Linked DNA regions of Canis lupus familiaris. The protein of the gene in region 4 interacts with the protein of the main gene of each other region in a pairwise test. Links are inferred from orthologs where the notes say so. Each region holds a gene or a part of one and is shown on either strand. Other genes may lie near its edges.

Evidence for each region.
Region 1: the proteins of TRIM37 (region 4) and FAM107A interact in binary tests that used the Homo sapiens proteins (3 or more experiments, as listed by UniProt). The two-hybrid records come from large-scale screens. The link is inferred for Canis lupus familiaris from reciprocal best matches to the Homo sapiens genes TRIM37 and FAM107A.
Region 2: the proteins of TRIM37 (region 4) and COPB1 interact in binary tests that used the Homo sapiens proteins (3 or more experiments, as listed by UniProt). The two-hybrid records come from large-scale screens. The link is inferred for Canis lupus familiaris from reciprocal best matches to the Homo sapiens genes TRIM37 and COPB1.
Region 3: the proteins of TRIM37 (region 4) and PRC1 interact in binary tests that used the Homo sapiens proteins (3 or more experiments, as listed by UniProt). The link is inferred for Canis lupus familiaris from reciprocal best matches to the Homo sapiens genes TRIM37 and PRC1.

Annotation. Positions count from the first base shown.
Region 1 is NC_049241.1:32,347,217-32,352,568, forward strand, and holds the end of FAM107A (actin-associated protein FAM107A), read left to right. Parts: intron 1-106; coding exon 107-281; intron 282-1,981; coding exon 1,982-2,138; intron 2,139-2,618; coding exon 2,619-2,726; 3' UTR 2,727-5,187; downstream 5,188-5,352. UniProt on the Homo sapiens protein: Stress-inducible actin-binding protein that plays a role in synaptic and cognitive functions by modulating actin filamentous (F-actin) dynamics. Mediates polymerization of globular actin to F-actin. Also binds to, stabilizes and bundles F-actin.
Region 2 is NC_049242.1:37,791,571-37,796,922, forward strand, and holds the end of COPB1 (coatomer subunit beta), read right to left. Parts: intron 3,741-5,352; coding exon 3,595-3,740; intron 2,825-3,594; coding exon 2,735-2,824; intron 1,831-2,734; coding exon 1,675-1,830; intron 1,197-1,674; coding exon 1,137-1,196; 3' UTR 811-1,136; downstream 1-810. UniProt on the Homo sapiens protein: The coatomer is a cytosolic protein complex that binds to dilysine motifs and reversibly associates with Golgi non-clathrin-coated vesicles, which further mediate biosynthetic protein transport from the ER, via the Golgi up to the trans Golgi network.
Region 3 is NC_049224.1:53,755,624-53,760,975, forward strand, and holds part of PRC1 (protein regulator of cytokinesis 1), read left to right. Parts: coding exon 1-23; intron 24-925; coding exon 926-1,062; intron 1,063-2,931; coding exon 2,932-3,027; intron 3,028-4,528; coding exon 4,529-4,675; intron 4,676-4,870; coding exon 4,871-4,981; intron 4,982-5,352. UniProt on the Homo sapiens protein: Key regulator of cytokinesis that cross-links antiparrallel microtubules at an average distance of 35 nM. Essential for controlling the spatiotemporal formation of the midzone and successful cytokinesis.
Region 4 is NC_049230.1:33,633,017-33,638,368, forward strand, and holds part of TRIM37 (E3 ubiquitin-protein ligase TRIM37), read right to left. Parts: intron 3,146-5,352; coding exon 3,058-3,145; intron 1,388-3,057; coding exon 1,265-1,387; intron 1-1,264. UniProt on the Homo sapiens protein: E3 ubiquitin-protein ligase required to prevent centriole reduplication. Probably acts by ubiquitinating positive regulators of centriole reduplication.

The DNA.
Region 1 (5,352 bases), on a different chromosome or scaffold from region 4:
ACAAAGAAACAAAGAAAGAAACCCTTCAGCTGTGGGGCTCCCCTAGGAGGGGTTAGACTGTAGATCCTGCTCTGACCAACCCCTCCCCTGCCTCCTGCCTCTACAGCCTCGATGTACTCTGAGATCCAGAGAGAGCGAGCGGACATCGGGAGCCTGATGGCCCGGCCCGAGTATAGAGAGTGGAACCCAGAGCTCATCAAGCCCAAGAAGCTGCTGAACCCTGTGAAGGCCTCCCGGAGTCACCAGGAGCTCCACAGAGAGCTACTCATGAACCACAGAAGGTAGGAACAGAGCTCAGTTGCCTCAGCCCGGCAACCATCTCCTCAGGCCTGCTGCGGCTTGCGGAGGTGCCTCTTGTGGAAGGCAGGCCTGATGGTCATGCTGGGTCTCCTGGAGGCTGAAGAGGGCTGAGTGTACCCCACATAGTCACCCACAGAAACTGTGAAAGTCTAGTCCCCAGTGGTCCCCCAAAAGCCCTGCCCTCCTTCCCAGCTACCCACTCATGCCTGTCCTCCACAAACATTTACTAAGCACCTACTATGTGCCAGGCACTGCATCCAGACCTGGCATACAAGAAGGAACAGGACCCAGTTCCAGCCCTGAGAGTGGGGATGGATGCATAACCATGCAGTATGATGAGGGCATAAATGGGCCTGGAACCTCAGAGGAGGCACCTAGGAGTAGTCCAAGGTGACTTCACGGAGGAGAGGATCCCTAACAGCTAACACCTGAAGGATGGGCAAGAGTCAGCCAGACTAGGAGGTGGGCATCGGCGGGGGGAAGCAAGTATGTTCCCAGCAAAGGGAAGAGCATATGCAAATAGGCTGGAAACACAAGTAGCTCAGGGTGTTTGCAGCATGGATTTTGAGGTTGGCCAGAGGAGATGTGCTGGCCAGGGAAGGGTCTCAAGCAGGAATCACAGAGGGGGCATGAGTGGAGCAGGGGTGCAGTGAAAGAGCAGGCTTGAGATGGCAGGGCTGGAATTCAGCAAATGAAGGAAGGTGGGGGAGGCCTGGGAAATACCTCCCAGCTGGCTGGCACCAGGCCGAAGGCCGTGGCGCCTCCGCAGCTCCCTCTACTGGCACATTCTGGAGTTGGCGTAGGCTAGGATTCTCGTATTTTCAGCTCTGTGCAAGACCTTCCAGCAGGTGTCATTTTGTATGCACAGTGGGTTCTTTTTTCCTTGCTTAGTATATATATATCATGTGTATTTTCTCCGAATGTTTTTTAGAGTCATCCCTTTTAATGTAAAAAAAATACTCCCACGATAGAAAAAAAAAGCCTAAAAGACAAATCATATTTATATTTATATTTATATTTATATTTATATTTACAATACAAAACAGACCAAAAAATATATACATATCACTTATAAATCCATAAGGAAGAAAATGAACAAAGGCGGGTATAGTCAGTTTACAAAAGAAATGCAAATGTCTGGTACACATCTCAAAGGCTGTTGTTCATGTAACTAATAATCAGAGAAACAGAAATGAAAGCCAGGTATTATTTCTTGCCTACCAGATCCTAAAATATAAAAAGACTGCATGGTGATGGTGGGGAGGAGTAGATGCTCTTGTACACTGATGACAGAGTATAAATTAGGTAACCTTTCCTAGGGGGCAGATGGAAATATATATCCAAACCCTTAAAAAGAGCCTGACAAAGCAATTCCACCTTTAGAAACTTATCCAGGGAACGTAACCAGAAATAACACAGAACCTGGCCTCTGCAGTCAGACGGGCCTGGGTGCTCATGCTCGCTGAGCCCCTTCATAGCTGTGACCTGGACTGGTGTCTTAAGTCCTAGGAGCCTCATTTCCCATCTCCGGATAACAGGACAGGAATGGGACTACCTCCCGGGGCTGCCAGGAGGGTTGTACTGACAGGATGGTATAGGTAGGTGTCACTACAGGGTGCAGCCCTGAGACTGGGCGGGGCAAGGGGAGAGTTGGGGTCACCTGACGGCTCCCTCCACCCAGGGGCCTGGGCGTGGACAGCAAGCCGGAGCTGCAGCGTGTCCTGGAGCACCGCAGGCGGAACCAGCTCATCAAGAAGAAGAAGGAAGAGCTAGAAGCCAAGAGGCTGCAGTGCCCCTTTGAGCAGGAGCTGCTGAGACGGCAGCAGAGGCTGAACCAGGTGGGTGCGGAGCCTGGCCCAGGGAGGAGCCCTGCCTGTGGTCGCAGCTGGCAAGAGGGAGGAGATGAAGCAAAATGAGGCCTAAACCAGCAGTCCACCACGGGCTCAGGTCCTCACTCTGCCACTCACTCCGTGTGACTGAACCAGTGGCTTTCCCTCCCTGACCCTGGGTTCCCTTATCAGCCCAGTCGATTGCACGCTGATCCTGATCTCATTCTCACTATGTGTCTGCGAGCCAGGCAGCGTTCCCATTTTAGAGATGAAGAACCGGAGGCCCAGGTGAGGCAAGTGATTTGCACCAGGCTTCACAGCAAAAACTTAGTCTCCTGCCTGGTCACCCCAGCTACCAAGGCTGGTGGCAAAGCTGATCCCTGGTTCTGTTTCCCCAGAGAGGATCCTTGGTCCAAACACAGTGGTTTGGGGAATAGGAATTCCCCCGAGCCACACCCACTTTACACCTCTACTTCTTCTCTCCTTTAGCTGGAAAATCCACCAGAAAAGGAAGAGGACCATGCCCCCGAATTTATCAAAGTTAGGGAAAACCTGCGGAGAATCACCACGATAACCAGTGAAGAGAGAGCCCTGTAGGGCCAGGTGGGGGAAGCTCTGGTCCACGAAACCGCCCCCCTCCCAGGCCATCACACCCTCCTCCAGCCCTTCTGTATCCAGCAGCCCTGGGTCCCCAGTCTCGGGCCATCTGTGATGTTCATGCTTACTCTTGTGAAATGCCCCAGCAGGCTTGGACCCCCCTTCCCACCCACCAAGAAGCTGGGGGCCCCAAAGCTCCCAGCTTCTTCCTTCTGAGCATTCACCGCTTCTCCAAAAGGAAGCTGCTGCTCAGAAAACATTCCCAAGGCACCTCTCCCTGAAGGGGCTTCTGAGCTCCGCTGAGATTTTTCTGGCAGAATTGGGAAGGAAAGAAAGGCACCTCTTTGGCCCAACTAGCCCTCCGTTTTGCCCGTGCCTCATGGGCCCTGCTCTCAGAAAACTTCCCTGACTGTGGTTTACCTGCAGCCAGGTGTGGGGCAGCTAAGTGCTGCAGGTCAGCTTGAAAGCCAGCTGAGGGCAATCTGGTTCAAGTGCAGCTGCCCTGGTGAGGAAGGGCGGGGCGGCCCACCGGGCAGCCTTGGGGCTCCCTCCTGCCAGATTGCAAGACCACCACCGAGGACAGCTTCCCCTACACCATGCTTTCGCTCTCTCCTCTCCAAAACCTCCCTGTCTGGGCCTTGTAAGGGCATCTAACCAGGGCTGCAGCCTTCCTGCTCCCAGAAGTCTAGAACAGTGCTTCTCAAACTTTATTGTGCCTGCGAATCACTGGGGATCTTGTTACAGTACAGCTTCTGATTCAGTCGATCTGGGGTGGGGGCTGAGAGTTCGCATTCCTAACCAGCTCCTGGGCTGCTGGTCTGAGGCCCACACTGTAAGCAGCCACACATGGTAAATAGTGGAAACATGATCCCTGAAGCCACCTCTGCCCCCTAACTAACTGCCATGAATCTCTGCCCTGGGGGTGCCCTGCCTCTGCAGCCCCAGGGGCTCTCCATAATCCACCCCCTTCCAGGGCCCCAGACCTTGGAAGAGAGTTGCCGAGCAAATTATATATCGGTTGCATAATTGTCATTGACACTGGAGAGGTATATCATTGCCAATCTGCATTTTCTTACCACACTGTTCTGATGTAACTCTAGCCAAAAGGAATTTTTGTTTTGTTTTGTTTTACCTTTTCCTAAAGCCTACGGAGAACAAATATAGAGTGATTTCCAGTGGGTTTCTGGAAATATGAACACTGGTCTGAAGACCCCACTGCTACCCTTACAGACTGGCTCCTCTGAGTCCGCAATTCCATCCCCTGCTCCAACTCCCTACTCGGTTTCTACTACCTGAGCCAGCTCCAGTGAATTCACTTACTCTTCCTCAAAAATCCCTCCCCACAGGAGACCAAGTGTTGCAACATTTTGCTTCTATCCCATTGTTAAAGATTCAGAGAATAAACCAGGCTGGTTGTGTCCGCCCTCCCCACTCCCCATGAAGAATAAAATCCCCACCTCTGACTTTGCAAACCTATCATTTAAGGTGATAGGACAGTACTAGAAAAGCATTTCCTTTCACCCCTCAAAACTGCGGGGGGACAAAGCTGCCACTGGAATGCTATTTTATTCTTGGACCAAAAGTGGGACGTTCAGGAGGAAAGGGGTCATCCTGGTCTTCACTCCTAACTGAGTGGTTTGAGGATGACCAAAGATGTTGCTCTTTTCATGCGTGGGTGCCAGCCATTGTGTAAATAGACATGCTGTGTGCTTGTGTGTGTGTGTGTATAAATGTAAGTGAGGCTCTAAAAGGCCCTTGAACGTGTCTTAATGAGAACGTGGTGATGCTATTTTAGATGTCTGCCAGGTGAGAGCAATGCTAAAGCACAATCCCCAAATAAAGACCACCATTTCCCCAAAGAAGTCTCCCCAGCAGTCTGTGTGGTGTTCAGACATATGAAGAGAAGCAAGACAGCATCTAGGACGGAGTAGGCCCCTCAGAGAGAATGCTTGAGACTTCACTCAGTGGCCCCCAGAGGTGCTCCATGGAGAAGGCAAGCCATGGGGATGAAACCCCACATGGTCTAGTGGAACCATGGCAGCCACCCATGTACATTCCCCATGGTCGGTCCCAGCCCCTTCATTCCAGTTGCCTCCCACTGTAGAGGTTGTAAATCCCAATTCCCACTGTTCCAGCTTCCTTTGCAGCTTGGGGTGACAAGTGACCAGGTATGGCCAGTGCAATTTAAGAGGCAGTCTTACAGGGGCTTCTGGGAAAGTTTATGCTTTTCTGATAAAAGAGGCAGACATGGGTAACACCTCTCTGCCCCTCCATTCTTCCTGCCTTGATTGAGGATGTGATGCCTGGAGCCCCAACAGCCACCTTGCTACAATGAGAAAAAGGCCAAGAGAATCTCACAGACACTGACCTACCCTACCATCATTTGACCAAGCTGATGCCGGCAGCCATACTCCTTCAGAATTCTTGTAAATAAAGTGAAAATCCCCTTTGTTTAAAGCCATTGTTGGTCAGTCTCTGTTACTTGCACCCAGAGTATTTCTGAATACCAGCCCCCATGCCTAGAATGACCAGCAGACTATACTGAAAATCCAGATTCTTCCTTCCCATTAGAGATCAAATGGAGGGGCTCCTGGGTGGCTTAGTTGGTTAAGCATCCAACTCTTGA
Region 2 (5,352 bases), on a different chromosome or scaffold from region 4:
AACAAATCATTTCACTCTCAAGTGCCGAAATAAGAGATGCTGCTTTCACTCTTTCACAGAACTAATCTGTGGACACATCCTGACTGTAGCCTGAAGCCTAGCTCAAATACAAAGCGTAATAGTTCAATGTACAGACTTAGCTAAAAGATCAGACTACCTCCATCATCCCCAAGGAAGGCAAGGACCAAAAGGACAGCACAATTAGGCTCTAGGGAACTCAGTACAGAGAGCCACGTGGAATCCTATCAAGAGGCAAATGTGCCCAAGCCCTGGTGTAAAGGAAGAAAAAGGGAGGGATGAGTAAGGTTCAGAGGAGACATGGGCACAGCACAGCTTTCTGAATTCCCTCGAGCTGAATCCTCCCAGGGCAGTCTCAGTAACTGGGTGCAGCAAATATAATTCCACAAACAAAATAAGACTCCGAGCTAAATGTGAATGATTGAAAGATCTACTTTGGTTTATTACTCTTCATTATGATTCAGGATCATTAAGAAGAGTATGTTTATTTAAGTCAGGGCTCATAATACTCTTTTAAACTGAAGATGGATCTGTTGTCTCAAGTTATTTGATACTTCCTCCTAGAGCTCAATTCCAGAGAAAAGCCCTAGGAACACAGTAAGTCATTTTTAGAGATACTGATGTCGAAATAGTAAACAAGTAAAAATCAATCAAGTAAGTCAAGGTCTGTCTCAATTTGTATCACTGAATTTGTAAATTCTTTAACAAAGTTTGTATATGTACAACTCAGAGTGATTTAAATTTATAGTAGAAACCTATAACCAAACTATAAGAAATCCATTGCTACATAACTAAAATTAGGTAATTATATTTATTTATAAAATAACAAAAGATTTAGGAATAGATCTGTTTATTGTACTGTGAAAATGGTCTTGGTACATGTGAGAAACATTATATACTTTGAGGACAGCATTCAGAATTGTTAAGACAAAAGACAAACTATAATTTTAAAGTCAATCTTGATTTAAGGGAAAGGCTATAAATTATAGGCTGGAATGCATTCAGCATGAATTCAGATTCTATAGAACATAAAGCATGAAAGAGTACAAAAGATGTTGGAGTCCAATAAGCCCATACCTAAATTTTACTGTAAAGCTGCAAGGACTTTTTATTTATTCTTATATACTAGTTTTCTTCTGAGACAAGTTGATTTTATCTCCAAGACTTAAGGCCATTCCCTGTAAGGAAAAATGCAAATGTTTATAATTGTTAAAATTACATAAAACCAGTAGGTTATTCTATCTTAACCAAGCCCCCATTCAATGGCACCACATCAATAAAGAAAACAAGGAGGTACAAAACAGACTCACTAAAACTTTACTTTGTTAAATACTTTTAGTGCTAGATTTACAAATAGTCACTAGATCTGAGCTTGGATTTCATTCAAAAAACTTTAGAGAATCATTTCACAGCCTATGGGAATCAATATTGTTTTAAGCGAATAATCCAGAATGACAGGCCCAAAAAGTGGGCCATTTTAATTAAGCAAAAGTTCTATTTCTGTTCAGAGAATATTATTATTATATATATGCATCTAACACATACAACACTAGTATGACAGAGAATGCTACACATAGAAATAATGAAGAATTAAACTTTTTGTTCAGTTCAGAGATGATCTCAAAAACAAACAAACAAACAAAACCCAACCATTACCTGACTCTTTGCACGAATTCTTATGTGGCCAGTAACAGGGGCCTCTGGTCCCTGTTGAATTGGCTTCTCAATGCTGACATTTGCAAGTGCATCTTCTCCAAATATGGAACGAGCATACAGGTTGGCTGCCATAAAGCCACAGTAACCAGAAAGAGCCTAGAAGAAATTTATGATATATTCAGAACTTCTCTAGAGAACCACACATAAGCAAGACCCACCAGCATAGGTAAATTATCCTTTAAAATAAAGACTTACCATATGATGGTGGTTATATGACTACATAACATGTCAAAACTCAGAGAATCGTATGTGTAAAAGGTGTGAATATTACTGTGTCTATATTATACCCCAATAAAAATGACTTTAAAGAAATAGCACTTATTTCAGTTTGTATTTATACATTCCCTGTTTACTTACAGAGTTGTTTGCACCAGACCTTAAGCTCCATAAAGGAGAGACAATTTTTATTTTGTTCATTACTGTATATCCAGTAGCTCAGAGAGTACTGGGCATATGATGTTTGTGTATTTGTTAGACTATCTGTTGAATAAACTAATATATGAATTAAAACCCATTTGGCAGAATTTCACTGATAAAATTAGCATTAGCAGGAATTCTACAAAGAAAAAAATTCTTTAGAGTCTCATCTTCATTTTTCTTTTTTCTAGTCTTTTTTTTTTTTTTCATATATACAGAACTTAGTAGAAAATCCTATATCTGAACAGATATATTCCGACCCATAATCAGAGCCAAGAGAAGAGGTCATGGACATTTTTTAATTCAGTATCAAAACCTATTTTGGAATGAGTCTTTCTTTAGCTGAAAGGAAGACTGAAAAGAAAAACGAATGACTATTCAATTGGTTCCCTGCACTAGGAGCAAGGAGGCTGGTATGTGAAAGAGGTAGGTGTGGGATAACGTCTCATAATAGCGAGTCTAGAATGACACTGCTTTTCTCACACTGAACAGTAACAAAAACCCACTAAAGGGAATACAAGAAAGCCAGGAACCTGCCATACTACTCTCTATCAGATTTAAGAAGTTCTCAATCAAATCTTACCTTCTCTGGAGTGAGGCATTTCATGTTGGTTGACTTTAATATATGCTGTAAGTAGTCATTTAAATCGATTATATTTGTGTTAACCGTCACCTGTATAGAGGGAGAAAAAAGTCAAAGAGATCATAATCCTTATAAGGAGAAAGTTCTGGTTTTCTGATCTTAGAGTTGAGAAAACAGACTTATATGTCATATGGAACCTCCTTCCAAGTATTTGGTGGGGAGGGTGGGCAACAAAAAAGCAAATGACATCTTTTGCAAAATCCAGCAAGCTGCAAGTTGGTATCAGAACTTTCATACATAGATCACTTCATAAAAGATCACCATGCTGCATTTAAATATTTCTAACAAAAATCAAGGACACTGACTTTGCAAAACCTCTTCTGGACACGGATTCAATGGTAAGTTATTATTCACACATACAAGGGATGGTATATTGTCTTTAATGTCTGTATCTATCAGATTAATCATACAAGGACACCTGGGTAGCTCAGCGGTTTAGCCCCTGCCTTTGGCTCAGGGCATGATCCTGGGATCCGGGATCAAATCCCACATCAGGCTTCCCTGCAGGGATCCTGCTTCTCCCTCTGCCTATGTCTCAGCCTCCCTGTCTCTAGGTCTCTCATGAATAAATAAAATCTTAAAAAAAAAATTATACAACTGTTACTCTAATCAGTTTAAAACAACTTACCATACTACTCACATAATTAACTTGCATGGTTAAGGCTAATTTGCAAGAATAGATACCGAGAAGCTGCTTCTCACATCTGAGACTTTTTAGTGGGACTAATTTTATCAGATAATCCCCAACACTAGCCAAAAAAGTAAGATAAGAAGCTGAAGGAAATCTCCCAAGGACTCACTTTGTTTTCCCATTCGAATTCAGCCCACATCTGACGGAATTCAGCATCAGTGCAAGTGGCAGGCTGGATATAGTCCATGATGTCGATGTGAATATCACTGAGGACTACGCAATTTCTGTCACTTGCTGCTCCAGAGACATCATAAACTGCAAAATACACACAAACAAGGTCCTGAGGGGACACCTGAGTGGCCCAGTGGTTGAATGTCTGCCTTTGGCTCAGGGTATGATCCTGGGCTACTGGGATCAAGTCTCTCATCAGGCTCCCCACAGGGAGCCTGTTTCTCCTTCTGCCTATGTCTCTGCCTCTCTCGTCTCTCATGAATAAATAAAATCTTTAAAAAAAAAAAAAAAAAAGGTCCTGAAACATCAGAGGCAAATTTTATTTTATAGTTTTGAGGGCAGCTCGGGTGGCTCAGCAGTTTAGTGCTGCCTTCAGCCCGGGGTGTGATCCTGGGGACCCGGAATCGAGTCCCATGTCAGGCTCCCTGCATGGAGCCTGCTTCTCCCTCTGCCTGTGTCTCTGCCTCTCTCTCGCTCTCTCTGTGTCTCTCATGAATGAATGGATGGATGGATGAATGAATGAACAAACAAATAAATAAAATCTTAAAAAAAAAGTTTTAATATGGGACACCTGGGTGGCTCAGTGGTTGAGCATCTGCCTTTGTCTCAAGGGTGTGATCCTGGGATCCAGGATCGAGTCCCCTATCAGGCTCCTTGAAGGGAGCCTGCTTCTCCCTCTGCCTATATCTATGCATCTCTCACTGTGTCTCTCATGAATAAATAAATACAATCTTAAAAAAAAAGTTTTAATATTTATAGATAATAATTATAAGATTAGCAACTATTTATATAATGCTTATATCCTGGGCTCTTATTTTAAATACTTTAAAAATATTACCTATTTAATACTCCTTCAATCCTATGTTATAGTATTATCATTTTCCATCTTATGGATGAGGAAACAAAACAAAAAGAAGTCAAGTAAGTTGCTTAAGGCCACAGAACTGATTAAGTGGTAGGGGCAGGATTCAAATTCAGTCAGTACATGCATAGCAGTTGCAGTGTGAGGCCCTCCATGGGGATATGTAAGTCATAGTGCTCCCTAGGAGGTACTTAACAAATATGTTTTAATGAATATTGAGGAGCCACAGTACTTAATGATTACAAGATTATTTACTTCTATGACTGCCTCATCCACAGCAGAAAGTTGTCATCTGATTGGAGCCTACCTTTCTTCCTCCTAGCCTCTTCTCTTTACATTCCTCCACTGCATCTACTTTCAGAGAAAACAGAGGTCACCAAGAATAAGTTCCTTTAATTTTTAGTCCCACATCTAAAAACAAATTTCTCTCTCTCTGAATTCACACACCATTTCCTTACCCTGTGTATCAGGGAAGTGCTGTCTCTTCTCTTGCAGATTCCTGCCATCTGTGATTCCTGTTCTGGTTCAGGACATCACTCCACCAATCATTACCTCCCTCACTCTATGTCTTTAGCTTTGTTTTCTCTACTGGCTCTTCCCTTAGTCTATAAACATTCCCTTTTATGACTCTCTCACCTTAAAAAAAAAAAAAAAAAAAACCTCTCCCTCCTCCTCTGACTTCTCTTCATTTATTGCCCTCTCTCATTCTTATCAAAACCAAAATTCTATACTCAGAGCAGTCTACACTGTTTTTATTTCTCTACCTCCAAGTCTTCAACTCACCATCAATGCCCAAGATATACCACAAGCAATATTTAATATCACTGATCACCA
Region 3 (5,352 bases), on a different chromosome or scaffold from region 4:
AGCTTTTGCCCCTTACTATGATGGTTTGTACAAACACAGTGATTTTTTTTTTTTTTAAGATTTTATTTATTTACTCATGAGAGACACAGAGAGAGAGGCAGAGAGAGAAGCAGGCTCCATGCAGGGAGCCCAACGGTGGGACTCGATCCCGAGTCTCTAGGATCAGGCCGTGGGCTGAAGGTGGTGCTAAACTGCTCAGCCACCCGGGCTGCCCAAAACACAGTGCTCTTGTTGTGGCCTCCTCACTTGTCTTTATGAAGGCAGCCATTCACCAGCACGTATTTTCCTTACTGAACAGATAGAGCACCTTTTCAAGCCTTTTAGCATAAACTGCCATTCCTGTATAATTAACATTTGCAGATGCTTCTAGCAAAGGGTCTCTTGATTTCTGATATAGTAAATCACCACAGTCTGTAGTTGTGAGGCTCGTCTATCAGGTGCTTACTCTATGCCAGGCTCAGTGAATCCTCATGGCAAGAGGTGAGGACATGAAAGTACATAAATGTTCAGCAACTTAACCCAGAGGGATGTAGCAAGTAAATAGCAAAGCCCACATCTGAGCCCATGGAGTTCATTCCCAGGAGCTAAACGGAATTCTGGTCTGGCCTGAACTGAGTATAAAGATGAGATTGTCTACTAAATTTTTAGACATTTTCTGTGAGCAGGATGGAAAGAAAGAATATGAAGGAGACCTAGAACAAGGTCAGAGATGCCCTAAAGCTTTGAGAGTCTTAGCCCATACCTTAGCCCTTAGTGCCCCTTCCCCAGGTTGATCATGTGATAGGGCTGGCTTTATCATCTGCAGTCTATACTTACTGCATGTGTCACTTTTACTATAAGGAAGAAGGAAGTTGAAATGAGGGACTAGTAAATTGGGCTACTAAACGCTAGAATTTTTGTAAACTACTGGGTCTGTATCTCGCAGAGGACTACACGGAAAATCTGCTCCAGCTCCATGATGCTGAGATTGTGCGGTTAAAAAACTACTATGAGGTCCACAAAGAACTCTTTGAAGGTGTCCAGAAGTGGGAAGAAAGCTGGAGGCTTTTCTTGGAGTTTGAGGTACCACCCCAGCTTCTGTTTCCATGGAGTCCATAATCAGTTGTTAAGGCCTAGCCTGCACGGAGCCAGGGTGCATTCTCCTTTGCTCTCTGCCAGGGTTCTCACACCCTGTCTTTATCACGAAGTCTCTGAATTACCACTAACTCCTCTGTATTTGTGAAGCTTGTACGTGGGACACAGAATACCATCAGTGCCTTCAGGAAAGTAGCATTCCTTGCATGTAGGAAGTCCAGGGCAGGTATGGCTGTTTCACAGCCAGGGGTGCCCCAGGCTTCTCCAGCCCATGCATGGCTCCCCACCCACTGAGAGGTGAACATTATCCTCAGGTCCACGGTGACTTTAGAACTCTTACTGTTGCACTTTGAGTATTGACCCTCCAGCCCCTCTGAGGGCTCTTCCAGCACCTCTGCCTGCACACCAGCTGCTGCTGAGGCTGGGGGAGCTGCTACCACAGATAAATTCAGGTTCTCCGTACCAAGGAAGGAGATAGTGAATGTTGGGGCAGGTAGTTCGTAATATGCTTACATTCCAACTTCGTGGTCTTCTTAGAAAGTTGCCTTTCTAAGTGTTAGGGCACATTTCTATAGTCTGAATTCCATTTTTTCTGACAGACTTGGTACTCATAGCTTCCCTCTGAACTTTTCAGAGCTAGGGGCTGGGTCTTGGATAAGCCAGACGAGACTTGTAGGGGAGAAGAAACTCACTCTGAGCTTGAAGAGGCCGTTAGAGAATCAGTCAATCCCTTCAAAGTCACAGGCTAGAAACTAGGATTCAAATGGAGAGAGCTGTATGAGGTCTTACAGCTGCTTGAGAACAGATGTTCTAGCCCTCAGCTACTCCTTAACTTGTGGTTGAAAGCAAGAAGGAAGGGTCTCATTGACATGCCAGTATTTAGGGAAAAATCAGAAACAAATTGCCATCCCCTTCAGTTAGTGTTTATAGGCATTCACCAATCAAGCGGTCTTGATGGGAAACAATTTCTTCATAGGCTTTGCCTCCAAATTGTCAAGATTGTTTCTGGTTTTCTGATGATCTGCTCTGCTTTTTGAGTGTGTAAACCTAATTTATATATACAAATTACAGGCTTAAATACCGTTGTGATACACTGTATACACGATACAGTAACAAGAAGTGGAAAAGAAGCCTAACACTTTACATTTTTACTTGCCCATTTTGTGAGTGTTGATTTCATAAAAACCAGATTATCAGCCTCTTAACTGGGCACATTTAAGCTGCATTGTCAATATGCTAGGAGTGAGTGGGCAAGTAGGGGTGCCACCCTAAGCCCTCCTGAGTGTAGACCTCTCCCTTGTCCCTCCACATGTCTCATTCCCTATAACTGACAGTCATCTTTGACATTAGAACCAAGGGAGGGAACCAATGACATTGTGCATTACACGTTAAAGCGTATATTATTTATTTTTTTTAAGGATTTTACTTATTTATTTGAGAGAGAAGGAGAGAGCATAAGCCAGGGGGAGAGGGAGAGGGAGAAGCAGCAGCCGCCACAGACTCCCTGCTAGCAGGGAGCCTGACGAGGGTCTCGATTCAGGAACCCTGTGATCATGACCTGAGCTAAAAGCAGACGGTTAACTGATTGAACCACCCAGGCACTTCCTATCATACTTTTAGATTAAAAAGGAAACAGTACTTTTCCTACATGCCATTGGATGATCTTGCATATGCCTATAGTACTCACACCCCACTCTCTTCTCTTAGAACACCACAGTTTCTCATCGCTGACAATGGATGGGAACGTAAAACTGAGAGTCTCCTTAATATGTGTTAGTTTGACAACAGGGAATCTTAGCAGAAGTAACTAGTCTGACTCTCTCAGGGCTTACTCTAATTAAAAGGTATTTTTCACAGAGAAAGGCTTCAGATCCAAGTCGATTTACAAACCGTGGAGGAAATCTTCTAAAAGAAGAAAAGCAACGAGCCAAGCTTCAAAAAACACTTCCTAAGGTAATAACTGCCGCTGAGAGTTTTTGGTGCTTGGCTACAAAATACCTTTTTGTATATCCTTTGCTTTGAATTGTCTTGCCCCAGAACTGTCTTCTCTTCCAGTGCTTAGGCGAGGGTGGTAAGTATATACCGAGCCTTCCTGGTGTAAGCCTTGAATATCACGGTTTATTGGCTTTTTATGGCTGCCATAGCAAAGTGCCACAGCCTGGATTGCTTAAACAACAGAAATTTATTTTTTCACAATCCTGGAGGCTAGAAGTCTGAGATCAACTATCAATATGGTTGGTTTCTTCTGAGGCCTCTTCGACTTGTGGATGATTTGCCTTCTCCCTGTATCTTCATATGGCTTTTTTTTTTTTTTTAATTTATTCATGAGAAACACAAAGAGGCAGAGACATAGGCAGAGGGAGAAGCAGGGAACCTGATGTGAGACTCAATCCCAGGACCCTGGGCCTAGGCCCTGAGCCAAAGGCAGATGCTTAACTGCTGAGCCACCCAGGCATCCCAACATGACCTTTCTTCTCTATGTATCTATGTCCATATTTTCTCTTAAGGTCACCAGTCATGTTGGATTAGGACCCACCCAAATGATCTTATTTTTTTTCCCCAAATGACTTCATTTTAACTTCATTACATGTATGTCCAAAAAAGCCACATTCTGAGGTACTGGGGGTGGTAGGGGCTTAAACATGAATTTGAGGAGGGTACAATTCAGCCCATAACATAGGCAAGCTTTTGAAAAAGTGCTGTGAGCTTCATTATGTTTTTTTGTTGTTGTTGTTGTTGTTGTTGTTTTAAGATTTTATCAGAGAGAGAGAGTGCACGGGGGGATGGGGGAAGGGAGAGGGACAAGCAGACTCCTCACTGAGCAGGGAGCCTGACACAGGGCCCAATCCCAAGACCCAGAGATCATGACCCAAGCCGAAGGCAGGTACCAGCTAACTGAGGCACCCAGGCACCCCTCCTGTTGTCTATTTTAATAATAATTGTTAGCATTTATTGAATTAAGTACCAGATACTATTGCAGAATATTTTCCATTTATTTATTCATTTAGTTGTCACAGCATCCTTATGGAATTGGTATCATTTCCATTTTTGTAGATGAGGAAATGGAGGCCCTGAGAACTTAAGTAACTTGCTCACCTTTTCATAGTCAATAAGCAGTAGATCAGGTCGGAACCTGGATAGTGGTGCTCTTAACATACACTGCCTATTTCATGCTGCTCATCTTCCCCAGTGCTGCCTCCAGCTTTAGGTGCCAAAACCCGAGTTAGACTATGGGTTCTTGCCCTTTCCCACCTTCATGTGTTATGAATAAACTATCCCTAGGCTTTGCCTCCTGGTCACTCTGACCTCTACTCATGTGGGTCTAGCAACCTGAAGTTCGTTTGGCTCATGGTGCTCTGGGGCGGCGTCTTCCTTTGGGAGAATCATTTCATTCAGGCTTTATATTTATATCAAAGAGTTGAAATAATTAGCATGTCCTTGTCTGTGGTCTCAGTTGGAAGAGGAGTTGAAGGCACGGATTGAAACATGGGAACAGGAGCATTCGAAGGCATTTGTGGTGAATGGACAGAAATTCATGGAGTATGTGATGGAACAATGGGAGATGCATCGACTGGAGAAGGAACGAGCCAAGCAAGAAAGAGTGAGCGAGCACAGTGTGGGACGAGGGGACAGTGGGATGTGAACAGCCCAGGGTCTCTGTCATGGGTGTGGGGTGGCTGAAGACGTAGCCCCGGGTATAGGGACTTGGCACTAGATTTCTGGCCCTGTTTTGTCCCATCTCACACTTGTTCCCTTCCTGAGATTTATCACTATTGCCTCTGACTTTGACACACAGCAACTCAAGAACAAGAAGCAGACAGAGACAGAGATGCTCTATGGCAGTATTCCCCGAACCCCCAACAAGCGGCAAGGCCTGACACCTAACAGGCCTGGCAAAGTGCGTAAGGTAAACGTGAGGCTATGAACCGCTGTTTATGGGGGGTGTTGCTGAGGCTAGGACTCTTGGCCACATTTTGGCTTCTGCCCAACAGATGAGAAAGGGTTTCTTAGACCTTCTGGGTTGGATTCACCTAAAAGTATGAATGGAAGACTATACCGTACCCCCAGTAGCATTCAAAGGTTCATCCTGGAATTCCAACAAGTGACCATGGTATTCTGTGAAAGACTTTCTTGTTTAGAAAATGGAATATTCAGCACTCCTTAATCTCTAGAGCAGGAGCTTGGGGAGGATTTTTTAAACTTTTCTTAGATAAATGGAATAAAGCATTACTTCCCTTCTCTTTCCTCAGCTTAAATATTTTATAACCTATAGCTTAA
Region 4 (5,352 bases):
GATGCCAGGTTCACATCATGTAAAACTAAAACAAATGAAAAATTTCAAACACTGTATGTACTCTAGTTTACAAAGTTTAAAACATTTTTTAGAACAGAGAAAGAAAAAGAAAAAAAAAAAAAACCAGGATTTTCAAAGATTACAGAACACATTGCAGACTCTTAAAGCATACCACTAAAAATAAAAAGTAATCTTTCCTATGCTTATTAGAAATATAAGCAGTGAGAATTTCAAAGTTAGGACATGCTCCCTAAAGATCAAATTAAGTTGCCAAGAGAAAATAACAGTAAAAAAAGAGGAGTTAGATGAAGTCCAAAGAGAAGACATTCAAGTTATTTATATTCCAAGATTACTTTGTAGGTAGCATATACGCAACTCAGAAACTTTTTGTATAAAAAAAAATGTTATAAAATAATGCTTTGAATCTTGATTCCTGAAAGGGTTAAGTAAAGATATCTTAAATCAGAAAAGGCCCCAAACCTCACTAGCTACAACTGGCATTCCAGCAATTCCAAAAGTATATTCAGGGGACGCCTGGGTGGCTCAGTGGCTGAGCATCTGCCTTCGACTCAGGGCATGATCCCCCATCCAGCGATCTAGTCCTGCCTTGGGCTCCATGTAGGGAACCTGCTACGCCCTTTGCCTATGTCTCTGCCTCTCTGTCTCTCATGAATAAATGAATAAAATCTTAAAAGAAAGAAAAAAAAAGTATATTCAGTACTTAAATGTTTGAAACTTGTATCACATTTCCCCATATAAATAATAAGTGGTAAATAACTCAACCAAATCTGTTTGACCTATAAAGTATCTGAAGAGTAGTGTTAAATATCACTCTTGCAATTCTGTAGAGTTCTACTTCAAGACATCAGAAATAGTTCATTCATTGGTAGCAGAAACTCTCCCAAAAGCTGAGGGTCCAAAGAATGACTCAATGACTTTGTAAAAGTCAATACTATTTACAAGTCGATTATGGACTATATCAAACAGGCTTATTTAACTCATTCACAGATTTTCTGTTTCTGCATAAGAAAAGGCAATTTTCTGGTTCCAAATGTGGAACAGGCCAGGGGTTTGGATGCAAATTCCTCAGCTAGTTTGAAGTTGGTGAAACTGACTATAAATATATCTTCTCAAATTTTTAAATCTCGATAATCTCGATTATCGATCGAGATTAATCTCGATTAATTTATTTGTATTGTAAAAATACATATATTACATAAGATAGACTATACAATGGATAATGATCTTTCAGTCGTAGTCTTACCACTTCTTGAACTAAGCTGATCAGTTCCATGAGACGCCGACGAAGTTTAGCCACTTCTTCATTCACTTTAGTAACATGCTGTTCATAAATTTCTGCCAAAGGTTTAAAGGTATGTCCACCATGCTATTTAAATTAAGAATAGTTTTAGAACATTTTTTTTTACCTCAACCACTCATACTTCTTTATTAACACTTCGTGGATACTAAGAAACTAGTAAATATTTTCAAATGAATTTTTTTTTGGCTGTCTACTTTGTTAAAATCCACAAGAGCTTTCTCAAGATCACTTGGCCCATATAGGAAATCCTTAATGATTACAGATAAAGAATTTCAGGAAAACATTTACACTCATCTAGAAATCTGTATTCCTTAGAAAGAACCAAAATCTTTAACCATGGCTCAAACCATCTGACACAACTTTATTTGCCACTCTCTTCTTGGTCAGCACTAACTACCCTTTTTCATGTTTTCAAATTTCTTTTCACTAGGCCTTTGCAAAATTAACTCCTTCTGCTAGGTAGCTCAGTTGTTTGAGTGTCCAACTCTTGATTTCTGCACAGATCATGATCTTGGGGTCACGAGATTGAGCCCCACACTGGGTTCTGTGCTCAGCGTGGGGTCTGCCTGGGATTGTCTCTCCCACTCCCTCTGCCCTTCCCACTTGTGCCCACTCTCTCTAAAATGAATAAAGCCTAAAACAAAAAAAACCACAAAACCTTACTATTAACAGGTAAGTTCTTAGCATTGTCTTGTTTAACAAAAGCACCCAACCATGGTCTCTAAAATAAAAAAGATGTAGATTTTTGTATGTCCACTTAAAATATAGAAAAGAATGTTCCCATTGCTTCTTACTAAATCCACATATTTAATTAAGTACTAAATTGTAAGAATTCAGTTTTTTCTACTCAGAACATTAGTACTCAAATCCTAGCAGAAAACTCTCTAAAATGAGCTCTACTGAACCATGTTGCCTGTCATTCTCTCCCTGAAATATGCTGATACCCAAAAAATGATCAATTCTTTTCTTTTTTTAAGTAGGTTCCAACTCAGTCTGAACTCATGACCTGAGCTAAGATCAGAAATCTGACACTTAACCAACTGAGCCACCCAGGTACCCCAAGAATGATCAATTCTTATTGCTAACAGCTATGTCTAGTTGTCTAGCAACTTCTGCTCCCACTACAACTAACTCTCCCCACCAAAAACCTATTGGGTTTGTTCTCAAGCCTATTTACATGAATTGCACCTAGTACATAGGTATACAATTTAAATATTAATTAAACAGTGAAACTGTGAAACAAAGGCTGTTTACAGGAAAACTGACTTGAGTGTTTTAGACTTGATAAAAGGTACAATGCCTTAAAAACTACTTTTGAATTAAACTGGAAAAAAGAAAAAAAAACCCATAAGATCAAGATGTTTGCGTTCATATTGTTTCACAAATATCTAAAATTGTTTCATTTGAAACTGAATCTGGAAATTGTGGCCAGGACATCAGATCAACTGTCCTTTAATCAGAAATAAGACTTTGATCCTACAATAAAAGATTTACAAATATACATTTTCTATTTTTCCAACTAAAATAATGTATTTATGTAAGCAATGCACATTCCAAATCTATATCTCCCACAAAAGAAGTTTATGGTGTATGTGATACCTTCTGCTACAAATCAGATGCATTTAAATTTCAATCTATAAGCAGAGTAAAATAATATTTTCTATCTAAATCTAACAAGTATTTTGGTGCTTTCCAGTCTCTAGCTAAAAGTAATATGCTAAATTTTTTCTGCTCACCATTCCTCCCCAAAGTGCACACTGATGGCAGATACACTTCTTACAAGTCCAGCAAAATACACTAAGCTTTTCATGGTGATTTTCACATCTATATATTATGAAAAGAAAATATAGCTTAAATTAATTAAAATTATATGATAATTACTGAATAAATTCCTAAGTTTAGAAAACAAGTTAATTTTAAACAGATTATAACTCAGGAAACAATATAAAATGCATTCCATGCTTCTATAAGCTAAAAAAAATCATATGTGAACACAAAATCTTTTAAACTATTGTTTTCATTAATTTATAAAGACTCTATACAATTGTGACAAATGCAGATTAATTTTTTTTATTTTTTAAAATATTTATTCATGACAGATACAGAGAGAGAGAGAGAGAGAGAGAGAGAGGCAGAGACACAGGCAGAGGGAGAAGCAGGTTCCATGCAGGGAGGCCAACGTGGGACTCGATCCCAGGTCTCCAGGATCACACCTCGGGCCAAAGGCGGTGCTAAACCGCTGGGCCACTGGGGCTGCCCAGATTAATTTCTAAATAAAGTGTAAATATAGCATCATTTCCTAGCATCACTGTAAGTTCTATCTTATAAACAAATCACGAGTCCATACCTACATGAACACATATACATATAAAAATATTTGTCCCACATGTGGCCAATGCTAACAATCAAGACACACACATAATATCATACTCTCATGAGAAATGAGCACTTCAATTTTAAAAAATGAATTTCCCCTTAAAATGGATATCCACGTGTAAAACATTAATTTGGACCTGGTTATAAACTGAATTGCATCCTCCCCAAATTCCTATGTTGAAGCCCAATATAAATGTACTTGGAGATAGGGTCTTTAAGGAGGTAAAGAAGGTTAAATGAGGTCCTAAAGGTGGAATCCTAACCGAACAAAACTGGTATCAGTCCGAGAAGAGGAAGATACCAGAAGTTTCACACACAGAGAAGAGGCCCTGTGAAGACACAGCAAGGAGGAACCCCACCATGTCAAAGAAAAAGGCCTCACCAGAAACCAAGTCGTTAATACCTTGACCTTAAACTTCCAAGCCCAATATTATGAGAAAATAAATGTATTATGTAAGCCACCCAGTCTGTGATATTGTTATGGCAGCCCTAGCAGACAAAAACCATTAGCTTTTAACATGCAAAATTTAACTTAAAATAGATAAAAGATCTAAAACTATGTAGCTCTTAGAAGAAAACATAGAGGAAAAGCTTTATGATACTGAATTTCAAAATTACTTCTTACTGACACCAAAAGCACCTGCAAGAGAGACAAAAATAAATAAAATGAACTACATCAAAATTTAAAACTGAGGGTGCCTGGGTGGCACGGTCAGTTAAGCATCCAACTCTTGGTTTCAGCTCAGTTTGTGATCTCATTGTCATGAGATCCAGCACAATGCTGGAGTGTGAAGTCTGTATAAGAGTGAGTCTGTCTGTCTGTCTCATCTGCCTCCCCTCACTTGTGCACTCTCTCTAAAATACAGATCTTTTTTACAAAATTAAAACTTCTGAGGGGATCCCTGGGTGGCTCAGCGGTTTAGCGCCTGCCTTTGGCCCAGGGCATGATCCTGGAGTCCTGGGATCGAGTCCTGCATCAGGCTCCCTGCATGGAGCCTGCTTCCCCTTCTGCCTGTGTCTCTGCCTTTCTGTGTGTCTCTCATGAATAAATAAATAAAATCTTAAAAAAAAATTAAAACTTCTGTACATCAAAGGACACAATAAACAGATTGGAAGGGCAATCTATGGAATAAGACTGTATTTGCAAAAAAAAAAAAAAAGACTATTTGCAAAGCATGTATCGATAAAGAGTTAATATCCAAAATAAAGAACTCTTACAACTCAACAAAAGAAAAAAAAAAACTTGATTAAAATACAGGCAAATTGGGATGCCTGGATGGCTCAGTGGTTGAGCGTGGACTTCAGCTCAGGGCGCGATCCCAGTCTGGGGATAGAGTCTTGCATTGGGCTCCCTGCGAGGAACCTACTTCTCCCTCTATGTCTCTGCTTATCTGTGTCTCTCATGAATAAGTAAATAAAATCTTTTAAAAATATATATGGGCAAATGACTTAACATTTTTCCCCAAAGATGTGCATATAATCAATAAGCATTACAAAGAGATGTTCAACATCCTAATCATCAGATAAATGTAAATCAAAACCACAAGATATTTCCTCATACTCATTAGGATGGCTACCTAGGGCAAAGATGGAGAAATTGGAATCCTGTACACTGTTGGTGGGAATGTAACATGATGCAGTTGCCATGGAAAACA